Cricetulus griseus: one gene and its partner. The main gene of each other region encodes a partner of the protein of the gene in region 2 in a complex. Links are inferred from orthologs where the notes say so. Each region holds a gene or a part of one and is shown on either strand. Other genes may lie near its edges.

Region 1 (6,279 bases), on a different chromosome or scaffold from region 2:
GTAAGCAAGACAGCTTCAGACAGCAAAATGTATGAAAGAATAGTGGCTCTCAACCTGTGGCTTGCCACCCCTTTGGGATCCACAGGGGTCACCTAAGACCATCAGAAAACATTTACAGTACGATTCATAACTAGCAAAAATTACAGTTAGGAAGTAGCAATGAAATAATGTTATGGTTGGGGGGGCATCACAACATGAGAACTGCATTAAAGGGTCACAGCATTAGGAAGGTTGAGAACCACTGCATCAAAGCCTTGCCTACTTTGAGTTCAGTCTCTCTGCTTCATGATTGCCATTGAGGATGTGAGCTCTTAGCTTCTTGCTTTGGCAGCCATGCTCCTTGTTGCCATGCCTCCCCATCACAATGGACTCTTATCTCTCTGGAGCTCTAAGCCCAAATAAACTCTTTCTTCTATAAATTGCCTTGGTCAAAGATTTTATTTTAACAACAGAAAAGTAACTAATATATTCCAAAAAGGCTCACACCTATTTCATAGAGGAACAGGAACCCTGTCCATCTTTAAGAGTCTCAATAGTCTAAGCCCAGTTGTCTTCAAGATTCAAGGCAGTCTTTAGGTATGGGGCTTTGCAAAAATAAAAAATAACCAAGTTATATTGGTTGTTGGTGGCACATGCCTTTAATCCCAGCCCTAGGGAGACTGATTTCTGTGAGTTCGAGGCCAGCGTGGTCTACAGAGCGAGTTCCAGGACATCCAGGGCCACACAGAGAAACCCTGTCTCGAAAAACCAAAAAAAAAAAAAAAGAGTACACAAATACTTGAGTAAGATACACATGACTAAGATACTGAGTCCTTTGTATTTGCTAAGGAGTGGTATAGCTGGATCACATGACAGATTTCTTTTTAGCTCTTTGAGAATTCAAAGATTCTGATTTCCACCAATCCCACTAACGCTGAATAAGGGAATCTCTCTCTCCTTTTTCTTTCTTTCTTTTTTGTTATTTCGAGATAGGGTTTCTCAGTGTAACAGCCCTGGCTGTCCTGGAACTCACTCTGTAGACCAGGCTGCCCTTGAACTCACAGAGGTCCACCTGCCTCTGCCTCCTGAGTGCTGGGATTAAAGGCTTGTACCACCACCCAGCAGGAAGTTATGTCTTACTCCTCATCCCCTCCAGCATTTGTTGACAGCCATTCTGACTGGAGTAAATGAAATCTTAGTCTTAATTTGCATTGCCTAATTTGCTAAGGATGTTAAAAGCTTTTTGAGGTATTTCTTAAGCTATTTTTATTTTTTCTTTTGAGAACTCTCTGATCCATACCCCTTCCCTTTTTTGTTTTTCGACAAGGTCCCGGATACTGAGAACTCACTATGTAGACCAGGGTGGCCTCAAAGGTGTTTGTGTGCGTGCGTGCGTGCGTGCGTGCGTGCGTGCGTGCGTGCGTGCGTGTGTGTGTGTGTGTGTGTGTGTGTCTTATATACACAGGAATGTGCAGGAGTGTGAACATGTGGAGGTCAGAGAAGAACGTTAGGGTCTTCTATTGCTTTTCTTCTTGAGACAGGGTCTTTAACAGAACCACAAGCTCCACTTCCAGCTAGGCTGACAGGCCAGCAAGCTCATGGGATACACCTGTCTTATGCCTCACCCCTTCTAATGCTGGGGTTATAGGCACAGGCAGCCATGCCTGACTTTTGACATAGGTGCTGGGGAATCAAACTCAGGTTCTCATGCTTACAAAGCCAAGTACTCTTAGCCACTGAGACTTATCTCCAGCCCTTCCCCATAATTGCTTTTTTTGTTTTTTCAAGACAGGGTTTCTCTATAGGTTTGGAGACTGTCTTGGAACTTTCTCTGAAGACCAGGCTGGCCTGGAACTCACAGAGATACACCAGCCTCTGCCTCCCAAGTGCTGGGATTAAAGGTGTGCACCACTATCACTCAGCTCATAATTGCTTTTACAACAGTGACATCTAATGAGATCTCCAAGGGTAGGGAGCTTCAGGGACAAGGTAGAATTATATTAAAAGGGCCCCCCAATTCAATTTAAAGGCTGTTCTCTCTGTCAAACTACTGTCATTTTTCTATATAGAGGATTTTAACCCAGAGTCTGTTTTGAGGTAAAATCATGCCAGGCAGTGGTGGCGAATGCCTAAAGTCCCAGCACTCAGGAGGCAGAGGCAGGAAGATCTCTGTGAGTCCCAGGCCAGGCTGGTCTTCAAAGAAAGTTCTGGGACAGTCTCCAAACCTACAGAGAAACCCTGTCTTGAAAAAACAAAAAAAGTGTCCTGTTTTGAGGTAAAATCTATGTTGCATACACATTTAAGATTTTATACTAGCCTTTTTCTTTTTATTCTGCTGCTAAGGAATGAACCAACTACTCTACCACTGAGTTATATACTTGCTTCGAACAATCTTTGTATACTATAAATGTTATTACTCTCATTGTTAATAAAAAGCTGATTGGACTATGGATGGGCAGGATTTTCAGGACGGAAAGAATGCTGGGAAGGAGGGTGGAGTGAGAGGAGTCACCAGCCAGTTGGAGAGGAAGCAGGACATGCAGGAGAGGTAAAAGCCATGAGCCACAGATTAATAGAAATGGGTTAATTTAAGTTGTAAGAGCTAGTTAGTAACACGCCTGAATTATTATTATTATTACTTTTATTGGTTTTTCGAGACAGGGTTTCTCTGTGTAGCTTTGGAGCCTATCCTGGCACTCGCTCTGAAGACCAGGCTGGCCTCGAACTCACAGAGATCTGCCTGCCTCTGCCTCCCGAGTGCTGGGATTAAAGGCATGCACCACCACCGCCTGGCTCACACCTGAATTATTGGCCAAGCATTTATAATTAACAATAAGTCTGAATGGTTAATTGGGAAGCAGCTGTCGAAACAGCTGATCAGAGTCCCTACAAAAACTCCACCTACATATGCTTCTAGCTCCTAAGACTGTTTCTGACAGTACAGCATTTCCATGGAGCTCCAGCTAGATAGTTGAAGAACAGAGGTACGCAAATCATAGGGCCAGGAGCCAATAGTAGGTGAATGTGTAGTAGTAGGTGAATGAATGTGTTTTCAGAACAGTATTCTATGTCAGTAAGACTGCAGACTCCCACACCACCAAGGAAGGCCCAACTCACAACGGGGGCATTACGAAAGCCCTTGATAGCCTGGAAGACTCCACCACCAATGACACCCATAGTGAAGGCTCCACCGCAATCATCCACAATTCGCCATGGGCTGCAAGCAGGAAGGAAAAGATAGAGTTACTGTGAGACTCTGCCCTGCCAAGCCTGGACTCTTTGGAACTTGGAGAACCAAAATAGGAAGGTCATGACTGATAAGAAACACCTCAGATAATAACAAATCAGTTCTTTTTTTGTTTGTTTTTTTGAGACAGGGTTTCTCTGTGTAGCTTTGAAGCCTATCCTGGCACTTGCTCTGTAGACCAGGTTGGCCTCAAACTCATAGAGATCTGCCTGCCTCTACCTCCTGAGTGCTGGGATTAAAGGCTGGCACCACCACCACCACCACCACCACCACCACCAGGCAGTTCTGTCAGTTTTTAATATGACCCATAAAGCCAGAAAGGAAAGCCAGGCATGGTTCTACATACCTGTAAGCACAATGCTTGGGAAGATGAGGCAGGAGGATCACAAGTTGGAGTCCAACCTGGGCTATGAATGGAGACCCTGTCCTAAAAAGAAAGTTTGTGCAGCCAGGCAGTGGTAGTGCACACCTTTAGTCCCAGTACTAGCATGGCAGAGGCAGGCAGATCTGAGTTCCAGGCCAGCCTGGTCTACAAAGAGAGTTCTAGGACAGCCAGGGATAGACAGAGAAACCCAGTCTTGAAAAACCAAAACCAAAAAGAGAAAAAGGTTTTCTGCTCTGAGCGTGGTGGCACATGCCTTTAATCCCAGCACTTGGGATGCAGAGGCAGGTTGATCTGTGTGTTTAAGGTCAGCCTAGTCAGAGTTCCAGGCCAGCCAGGGCTACACAGTGAGATCTTGGCTCAAAACAAACAAAACCAAAAACGTTTGTAAATCTGTCTATGGCGCAAAAGTGGGAAAACATTTTTTTTCTTTTTCTTTTTGAGAGTGAGGGAGGTGCCTCACTACATAGCCTTCCAAATGCTGGGCTTATTACTGGAAGAATATTGCTCTCGATTACAACTGAGCATCAATCCAACTGTTTTGTTGCTGTCAAAAATCAAATGGATTGATATGTACAAAGAGTTGGCAGGTTTCAACAGTGGTAACTACCTAATGTTATTTAAGTAAAGCAGAACAGGGTGGCACTCTGTTCCCCGAAGGGGTGGGGGGGGGAGAAGCACGTCCAAGGAAGCCCCTGTACAGTGTCATTTTAAAATTTAAAACGGAAAAATCAAAAGCCATGAGGAAGCTCCAGGCCCCACCCCTTAACCCACAGTGGATTCATGAACATGCCCTAACCGGAGTCAAAAACCAGTCTGGGAAAGGCCACGAGAGGAAACTGTGGGTTTTGGCTCCACGCCTCTCCTCCCCCTCTGCCGGAATGGATTTGCCCAGCGTCTCTCTTTTGGCTCACAAAAAGTCTCTAGGAGAACAGTCAGGGGAAGAGTGAGGTGGTTTGTCCCACACCGCACCAACAGGGACACTCCACTGTGGCGGTTTTTAGCGAAGTCCGAGTGGGAGGAGCCAGGCCGGACGCGCCGAGGCAGTAAAGTTTCTAAGCCTCCCGAGTCAGGGACTTGACAGTGTAGCCGTTGCCTTCCCCGCCCGCCTCCCGTCGTTGGCCTGGGCTTCGCAGGGACTGTCCCGAAGCCTGTGCCCATCGCCGTACCAAGGTTCGCGAGCGTACTCCTCCATGGCGCCAGCGTCTGGCCTGGAGCAGACAGTCGCACAGACGAGCCACTCCCCCCCAGAAACGCCCACAAGAGCGGAGGCGTCTTACGTAGGCCAAGGAAACTATTGGTTTTCTTTGCTTACGTAAGATCAAAGGCGCACTCTTATTGGCTAGCCAGGCTGGCCACATCCGTTCACTGCAAGCCCTGGAGTCGACCAGTTAACTACACCTGGGGAGAGTGGGGAGCGTTTTGTGCTTTAAAAGAAGAGCCCTTCGATATTGGTAAGCATAGTGACAAAGAGGGGGAGGAGGACAGGGTGACAGACTTTGATTATCCGCATAGCTGCACTGCTAACGCCGAGGTGGAAGCTTTCTTTTAAAGCTGAAGATGGTGTTGGCATTTTTGCACCCCCATCCCAGCGCCTTGGTTCCTCCCACAGTGCTGACTTAGAGGGACGTTGGGTGATCCCATTTCTGGGTTGCGGGTGAGCTCCGCTTGGTCCCTCTGGCGATGGGTGGAGCCTTGGCCTGAAGAGGAACTGGGTCTTCGGTGCATCCGGTCCCCAGTGCCCCGGTCAGTAGAGTTCTGGTGGTACTAGTCCTCACCGTATTGCCACGTACTTCTTTCATCTTTTAGCACGCATTTTTTGTGCTGTCTTTCCAGCTGCTGGCGCAGTTAGGTAGGTGGGGGGTCAAATGAGCACATGCTGTAGTGTGACGCATGGTTACTGGATATCCTGATTGAAATGTTTATCGGATTTGCCCTTCACTGCCTTCTGTCGGTTCCTAGGTCTGGTCAGCAACCCGCAATGCCGCTCCCTGTTGCACTGCAGACCCGCTTGGCGAAGAGGGGCATCCTCAAACATCTGGAGCCCGGTGAGAAAGCTAATAGCATCTAATACCGTGTGTCAGTGTTAACAGATGTCTGTTATTCTGTTCTCTAGCTCCCCCACCTCTGCCCCTCGCCCTGTCGAACCCAAGGTGCATGCCGAGCAGGCGCTCTACCATCATCCTCAGCCCCAAAGCGCACACCCTTCCCCCCGCCCTTTGCGTTGCTGGGTTCAAATCCAAACTCTTGGATGTGCTGTACTATTGAGGTATATCTCCTTGATAGGCTTTATTGTTGATACTTGATACCTTGCATGGCCTGGAAGGCATCTCAATGTCACTTTACTGATACCCATTACTACTGCTTGGTAAGTACTGTGTGATGTGTAAGGCTGGTGAATAGAGTTTAATTTAACTCATGAATCAAGTGGACACGGTGACAAGTACCAATAGGATCACCTACTTAGGAGGACAATATACGAAGATGACTTGAGCCCAGGAGATCAAGGCCAGCCATGGCAACTTGCCCAAAACCCAGTCTTCAAAATAAAATAAAATAAAGCTAGCCAGGCATTGGTGGTGGACGCCTTTAATCCCAGCACTCCAGAGGTGGAGGCAGGCAGATCTCTTTCGGTTCAAGGCCAGCCTGGTTTACAGCATGAGTTCCAGGA
Region 2 (8,371 bases):
ATGGGGTGGGTGGTTTTTTAGTCATTTGGTGGGTTATGGGTGTTTGTCATTGATAAAGGGGGTTGGTTACAAATTGTTATTGGTCATGGAAAAAAAAACAAACCACTAAACAGAGGAGATTAGATTCAGGGCTCTCATTCTGAAAAGAAAAAAGGGGGATATAGGAATGATAGGATAAAAGGGAAGATTATTGAATCTACTTTTAAACTAAAAAGCAACTACTAGGCTTATTGTTCATTGATATGGTTCTCTGTACATTGATACAAATTTAAGGTTATTTTTGTTATGCTGTATTACATGTTTCTATTCCTTAAAATATTGTATCTATGCAGCTCATTTATAAATGCAATGTAAAGTTTTAGTCCTTGAAAGCAATTTAGGATAACAAAGAAATACATGTATGTAGTTAGTCATTTATAATAATCAAACTTATAGTCATGTTTGGAATACTTTAAAGGTCAATCAGAGACTCTTTTTTTTTGGGGGGGGGGTAATTCTAGACAGGGTTTCTCTGTATCTTTGGAGGCTGTCCTGGAACTAGCTCTTGTAGACCAGGCTGGTCTTGAACTCACAAAGATCTGCCTACCTCTGCCTCCCAATTGCTGGGATTAAAGACATGGGCCACCACATCCTGGCTCAGATAAATATTTTAAATAGTCTTCAAACACTTCAGAGATCTACATATGCCTATATGGCATTTAATGTTTTAATAATACGGCTTTTTATGACAGTGAGACACTGCTGCTCTTGGCAGCACCAATCTACTTCTTGAGAAGATGATAGGCATTGAAGAACCTCCATATGGAGTTTGCCTTGCTTCATCTACTGAGAGTATGATGTCCAAACTGGACAAGCAAGACACAAAGCAACTGCCAGCTGGGTCACCTTAGTCCCAGCACTCCAGAAGCAGAGACATGTGTGTGAGTTCTAGGCCAGTCTGGAGTTCCTGGACAGGCTCCAAAGCTACACAGAGAAACCCTGTCTTGAAAAATAACAACAGCAACCAAAAAATCAAAAACAACAACAAAAAAAAAAAAAAAAAAAAAAGACAGAAAAGTAACCACTCAACTTTGCCAAGCCAGGGTAGGACAGTCTTTCAAAAATTTCTGCTTCACAGAAAAGTCTGTCAGATATTCTAGGCCCATAGACTAAAGATGGATGCCCCAATGTCAAAGAGGAACCCTGAGGTGACTGTCCAGGCAGCCAGCTGTTTTTGTCATTTCTCTTAGTTTTAGAGGTTGCTTTCTCTGCAATTCCTGTTAAAGTAATATTTTATCCTTCTTGGGTCTCTGATGGAGATTGAAGACTAGGTGGTCACAGTTTTATAATTTTCCTAGTTACTAAATTAAAAAAAGAGAGAGATACATAAGTTTATAAGGTTGAAAAATATAAAAGCCAAAGCTACTTATTTAAAAGATGTTTTAAGGTCTAAAAAGATATTTTAGGATGATAATACAAGAGCTAGTTAGAAACAAGCCTAAGTTATTAGCCAATCTTTCTCCATGTGGTTATTTGGGAGCTGGCTAGCAGGACAGAAAGACTCCCTAACAAACTTTGACAACAGAGTGAGTTTCAGGACAACTGGTGTTACATAGAGACTCCTGGTCTCAAAAAAAATCAAAGAGAAAAAACAAACACACAAACAAAAAACAAAGATCACCTTTACTGTGATTCTTTTCACTACACTTTGTAGATTTAAAACACAAAACAAATACCTTAGAAGAAAACACCACTGGTTTCAAGAAGAAGCACAAAGCCAAGAGCACTGAGTTGGTGGACATGAAAAGTGCACTGAGACCGGAAGATTAGCCCTTCAGGAATACCTCCTCCATTGTCAGCACAAAGCACTTGAACTTTGTGTCAGACTAATGTACCAGATCAAACCAGTAAAAGCTTCATCTTACCTGAACAAGATATCGTGGATCCACATTTAAATATGGAGACAGGGGATTCATACCAGTTACTAGAGAGAAAACAAAATGTCATATCACAAAATTCCTTAAACTATTTCCCATAGGATTGATTCAGCTGATTGTTACATGTCTTGAAAGTCAATGAATGTGAAATTTTGAGGTCTTGCACTGATGCCCTACACTTTCATAGGATTTTGGTACTAATAGGTCAAATCATGAGACTTCCAGAAAATTAGCTTAGGCTGTTATTACTATTTTGGTTTATTTTTTATTTTTTTACATTTACTGGTTTACTTATGAGTTCATGTGTCTCTGTATGCACTAGTGTGTGAGTGGAGGTCCCATAGGAGTCCCTTCCATTAACCAGTCTGGTTCTAGGAATCCAACTCAGGTCACCAGGTTTGGCAGAAAGTGCTCATACTCACATACTCTCCCAGACCATGTATAAAAGTGGTTTCTTTAACTAGCAAGAAAATCAGGCAAATTGCAAGAGTAATCAGTCTCTCAAGTAAAATAGTGGTTGGGCTGGGAGGTTTTGACTATAGATGAAGTATATCAAGGCAGTTCCTTCGGATCACACTAAGAATTTTGCTAACAGTTTCTCTGTACTATGGCAAGGAGAATCCTTGGTTTTACCACAGGGATGAAGCTTAATGGAAAAGAAAATACAAACTTTCAGAGGGTTAAACTTAAATCTACCAACTTTAGGGAAAAAAATCTAGTATTTGGGTTCTTCTGTATCTCAGTTGATGGTTCACAAATGTATGCATTCACCATGACTCTGTCGGCCAATTCTAAGTCCCGTCGCTTCAGTTTTTCCATTGTTATACCTAGCATCCTAGTGCAAGCATCATATCTCATACCAACAGCTTCTTAACCTACCTTCTCTTACTTCTTCCACTCACTCTGTGGAAACTATGAAATCAGCCCTAAAGGCTCCCATCTACACTTTAGATCAAATCCAAATCCCTTACCCTTGTTCATAACAGCTTGTATTTGCTGTTCCCTGCCTCTCTGTTTTTATAATCTTCTAACACTTCACTCCCTTGCAACTCTAAAGACACATAGACCCAATAGCTGTTCAAGTAACATGTCAAGTTTGTTCTGTCTCTCAAACATTTGTTGCTAAATTCAGGTCACAGCTCAAATGTCAACTCCCAAGTTGTTTCCCCTGATCTGTTCTCAGCCTCCTCCTCCCACCATCATTCTCAGGGTCCTATTTTATTTCCTTCATGACATCTCTCCCTAACTGCAATGTTTTATGTTAAGTGGCTCACCTCAGCAGTATGCATGTATCATAAAAGCAATAATTACTGTGTCTCCATGCAGAGAAAAACTTGAGACACACACGAACGTTGTTCTGGACTCCGTTTTGACAGTAGACATTAGGGTCATCAAAGGGCTTTTTATTATTATTCTTAAGTATAAAGGATTTAGAAAAATGCTACAAGGATGAACAAGAAGAAACACCCACTCTAACAAGGGCCATTCACCATCAACTCCCCATTATCTTCAGGCCCAAATTCTACATATCAGGCTGAGTATCTAAAATTACCAAACCTTAAAAGCCTGAAATACGTGTTTATGGGATTGAGGAGGGCCAACAGGCCGGATATTCATGCCTCTGCATTTTTCGCATTTGCTTATTTCCCTTCTAAAATTTGTTTTGCTTCTTTCTTTTCTTTTCTTTCTTTTTTTTTTTTTTTTTTTTTTTTTGGTTTTTTGAGACAGAGTTTCTCTGTGTAGCTTTGGAGCCAATCCTGGCACTCGCTCTGGAGACCAGGCTGGCCTCGAACTAACAAAGATCCGCCTGCCTCTGCCTCCCAAGTGCTGGGATTAAAGGCGTGTGCCACCAACGCCCGGCTGTTTTGCTTCTTTCTTTCTTGCATATAACCTTTCCAGCTCCTTCTGGTTTCCTGAATTGTCTCAAAAAAGGGGGTTTTCGCCTAACCGACATTTAATTTAGAAATATTTAGTGACCGTGTAAAAAAATTAACTATGGGCTTGTTAATGGAGTATGTTTATTTCCAGGACTAGAGTCTCCCAATTCAGGGTCAAGCACACTGGCATGCGTGCAACGAGAGAAAAGAAGGGACGAGGGTGCTAAAGGCATTTTGTGTTTCCTCCCGAAACTAGGTCAATTAACGAGTTTCGGTGATTTATCACACACACACACACACACACACACACACACACACACACACACACACACATTCCGTTCAGTCTGGAAACCCCATCACTGACGGTGAACCTTGTGAACGCGAGCAAGAAAGGGGACAAGGAATGCTACACATTTCTAGCTGTCCCAGGAAGCAGACAGAGAGAGGTAGCAAGCTAGGCCTGATACTCACGCGGAACGCCGGCCAAATCAGAGTGCGAGTAGCCCGCTCCTCCTGCTCCGAAGAAGCCAGCTAAGCCGCCGGAGGTTTTGTTGCCACTTCCCCCGCCACCCTCCATGACGTCGCAGCAAAGTGCGGTGGGCTTCCCACCACCACCTCAGGCCGGGATCGTGTGTTCGGCCGTGGTCCCCACAGCAACAGCGGGAAGACCCGCGTTCCTACTGCCACCTTCACACGCTGACCTTCCGGGCGCCGGCTCCCGTTAAGCACCACACTTCCGCTTTGCGGCTGTGTACGGCCCGGAAGTCCGAAGCGCGGGACTACTGCTTTCCGGTGGTGGGAAAGTGAGCCGGAGCCGGAGCCTGAGCCCGAGCCCGAGTGGAAGCGGCGCGTCCGGGGCAGGTGGGCTCCCTGCGGCGAGCGGAGGCAAGCGGCTGCGCAGGGAGGGTCTGGCTCGGAGGCCCGAGGAGCAGCAGCCGCAGGAGCGGGCCGCCGCAGAGTGGGAATGGTGGGGGCGCCTAGAAGGAGGCGCAGTCCGTCCCTGTCAGGGTTAGTGAATGAGGCTCTCTGCCCGGGCCGGCCCGGGGACTGTGCGCTGCGGGTCCCAGCATGAGTGCGGGCCCCGGCTGTGAGCCCTGCACCAAGCGGCCCCGCTGGAGTGCCGCTGGAACTTCTGCGCCGGCTGCCTCGGACTCCCGGAGCTTCCCCGGCAGGCAGAGGCGCGTTCTCGACCCCAAGGACGCTCCCGTACAGTTCAGGGTCCCACCGTCCTCGCCAGCCCGCGTCCCGGGGCGGGCGGGACCGCACAGAGGCAGCGCCACCTCGTTTGGTACGTGGGAAAATAAAAATCTTTGTCCTTGTTTGAGTCTGAGGACTATGAGACTCCAATCACGTCTATCTGATCACCACTCTGATGCCCTCCTTGTTAAATCACTAGATGCCACTCGTAGGGGACAGGGGCTACAGCTTTTACTGGCATTTGTGGTGTGGAAAACTTTGGTGGACAGTTGCTAACCGCGTGGATCTCACCTGTATGCTTTCCTCAGCTTGGATAGAGAATTTGCCTTGTTAAGGAAGTCTAAATGTGTATATGAAGCAGAAGGTCGCTTCAGTCTCCAGAAGATGCAGTGAAAGCTGTTGCAGTTTACACGGTCAGGTGCTGACTCCCAGAGTGCAGAGCTGTTAGTCTTAGCTTGCTGGCATCCTACTTGCCCCCTGGCACACGATGTTGAACATGAGTTGCTTGGTTTCTGCCTTCAAACCCTGAAATCTATGAGGAGAGGTAGACAATAGCACAAGTACAATATGTGTAGCTAAGAGTAATGGGTTTTCTTGTTCATGAGGGAGAGATTGTTTTGGTATGAGTTAAGTGTACTTAACCTAGTTATGACATCAAAGTTAGTACTCCAGAAGATTTGGTACTTACTATGAATACTAGAGACTGTCGAAGAAAGAGTGAAGTGGTATTTCAAAAGTATAGCTGGCTTGTAGAATAAATGGTGGCATAGTGAGAGATGGGCTGCGGAGAAATAGGGAAAAGTGATCCGACTGTACTGAAGTATAGACAGTACTGTGGTTATTACTAAGAACTGTGAACTTTATGTTTTCAGAGTACTTAGAGACCAATAAGGGGTTTTTAATGCTTGTGTGTGGTAGATTAAATTTGTTTCTTGAATCCTCTGTATGGTTGGTTAGTGTATAGAAAATGGAAAAGAAAAGTTGGTTGAAACCCCAAGACTAAAGGAGCTGGTCTAGGTGGGAGATGATTTGCACTTAGACTTTGCAGGCAGTAGGGAACAGAAGTGGATGGATTCTGCAGAGAATGCTGGTTTTGTTTGTTTGTACCTCAGAAGAAATACATCTGTGCTAGAAAAATTGAGGAGTTCTTGGCATAAAAATAATAATGGAGCCGGGCGTTGGTGGCACACGCCTTTAATCCCAGCATTCGGGAGGCAGAGGCAGGCGGATCTCTGTGAGTTCCAGGCCAGCCTGGTCTCTAGAGCAAGTGCCAGACAGTGTAGGCTCCAAAGCTACACAGAGAAACACTGTCTTGAAAAACCCAAAATAAATAATAATAATAATAATAATAATAATAGGAGCTATAAGTGTAGTTAGAACATGCAAATATTTTGAGAACATAAAACAACCAAGGATAGAGCCTTTGGGTACACCAGCATTTTAGGGGATGCCTGAGAGAAATACTCAGTGAGGAGAAAAGCCTAGCTTGTGGTCACCCAGAGCCAACAACATTGCCGAAAGAATGCATTGGTCCACAGTGTAAGAGGCTGGGCAGAGATCAGGGCAAATAGTTGCACTTGTCTGCCTTGGAACCTCTAGGGAGTAGGTTTGAATCAAGTCTTTTTCTTTCTTTCTTTCTTTATTTCTTTTGACAAGATTTCATTGTGGGGCCCTGGTTGGTCTGGGAGATCTGCTCAGAGAGATCTGCCTATCACTGCTCCCAAATACAAAACTTGAAGATATTTAATCAGGTACATTCCTACTTCTGGCTTGACCCACGTCTTGAAATAAGAGGGGGGTATAATAACGTAGGTAGAAGGAACGGCATCCCTAAACTCTACTAGAACTAGGACATGGGGCTGCAGAAGACTTAGGTGAACTTTACTGTGGATAGACTTGTGTCATTTTAAGGAATTTAATCTGTACTCTGTATTTAATTGGCCTCCTGGAAGCTTTTTTTTTTTAAAAAAAAAAAAAGGGGGGGGGGACGCATATGGTTAATGTTTTAGAAAGATGGGTTAGCAGTAGCTTTTCCACTTTTTCAACTTCAGGCCATGGTACACAGCAATATCTGTAATGAATGAAAAAAAAAAGAAATAAAATGGAAAGGAAAGGACATAGTGGCTCCTAGGTATGGTGGTGGACAAAGTTTATTATAGGTATGTGGGAGAGCATAGTCAGAGGCAGGGATATCTGGAAGAGTCCAGAATGGACATGACCAGAGCTGGACTGAGGGGAGAGAGAAGGGAGAGAGGGGAATCGGGTGCAGCAGCCAGGATGCCAGAGGTCCAAAAAGGGGAGGGTAACCAAAATGTCTGCATTATAAGGGAAGAACCTCTTGGGGAAGGGCAGCCCAGCCTCTGGGCTACAGAGTTTAGGGTAGAGGGCAGGAATGCTGTGTTTAAAACTCAAGTTGATGCATATGCCATGTTTGTGATTGAAATATTTCATGAAATAACATTCTTACTATGTGAAATAGTCTTCCATTTTCCTTCTTTTTTTTTCTCTCTTTTTTTCTTTCTTCTTTTTTTTTTTTTTTTTTTTTTTTTCTGTCTGTATAGCCCTCGCTGTCTTGGAACTCACTATATAGACCAGGCTGGCCTTGAACTCACAGAGACCCACCTGCCTCTGCCTCTGCCTCCCAAGTGCTAGGATTAAAGGCACCCAGCTCAATACGTTTCTATATTGTCTATTTTTTTTAATGTTTGCCACTTTTAGTTTATAAAACTTTGGATTAAAGAAAGTCCAGACTAAACAGACTAGTTTGAGGAAATACAGACCAGTTGCGCAATAAGTGAAGTACTTAAGGGTTTAAAGAAGGGATGGATTTTAAATTTGGCATGTAGATTTCAGAGAGCTTGCTATAAAGAATAGGAACTGAAGATAAACTGTGGATAATGACTCTGACTTCTGTAACTAGGTAATCTGTGGTTCCCCTGACTTTATGCTTGCTAAGAGAAGTTGGGACTACCATCCTTTTCTCATTAGTTGGACCTTACATTTTCTGCCAAAGAGAAATCAAGTTAATATTCACATGGGTAGTGTTTTCTGCATACCTGCCAGAGAGCACCAGTGAACAGAATGTTCAAGGTCTAAGTTTTTATCATTAAACCATTGTTGCAAATTTTAGATTTTTTTTTCTGGAAGGCATTTTAAGTTTTTTGCATATAGGTATCATAAAAGTGGGTAGAGTAGAGAAATGCTTATTCAGTATCTTTTTATCTTCATGGATACATTTCTTATATTGAATGAAATCTGCAAATCTCTGCTTAGGCAGAACTAAGCATGCTAGTCACATTCTGATAGCAAATGACTTACCCAGTTGTGTAGCCAAAGGAGACTTCCGGAAGTGAAGTGCTCCTTGAAAATGCAGATGAATTT

What was found.
Region 1: mitochondrial import inner membrane translocase subunit Tim23 (region 2) and Timm17b share a complex: the UniProt entries of both Homo sapiens proteins name them as parts of the TIM23 complex. The link is inferred for Cricetulus griseus from reciprocal best matches to the Homo sapiens genes TIMM23 and TIMM17B.

The regions. Positions count from the first base shown.
Region 1 is NC_048604.1:114,362,659-114,368,937, reverse strand, and holds the start of Timm17b (mitochondrial import inner membrane translocase subunit Tim17-B), read right to left. Parts: upstream 4,841-6,279; 5' UTR 4,804-4,840; coding exon 4,778-4,803; intron 3,654-4,777; coding exon 3,573-3,653; intron 3,197-3,572; coding exon 3,097-3,196; intron 1-3,096. Other genes in the region: Pqbp1 (polyglutamine-binding protein 1), read left to right, coding at 5,590-5,656. UniProt on the Homo sapiens protein: Essential component of the TIM23 complex, a complex that mediates the translocation of transit peptide-containing proteins across the mitochondrial inner membrane.
Region 2 is NW_023276807.1:187,224,683-187,233,053, reverse strand, and holds the start of mitochondrial import inner membrane translocase subunit Tim23, read right to left. Parts: upstream 4,522-8,371; 5' UTR 4,371-4,521; coding exon 4,265-4,370; intron 1,964-4,264; coding exon 1,905-1,963; intron 1-1,904. Other genes in the region: Parg (poly(ADP-ribose) glycohydrolase), read left to right, coding at 4,862-5,081. UniProt on the Homo sapiens protein: Essential component of the TIM23 complex, a complex that mediates the translocation of transit peptide-containing proteins across the mitochondrial inner membrane.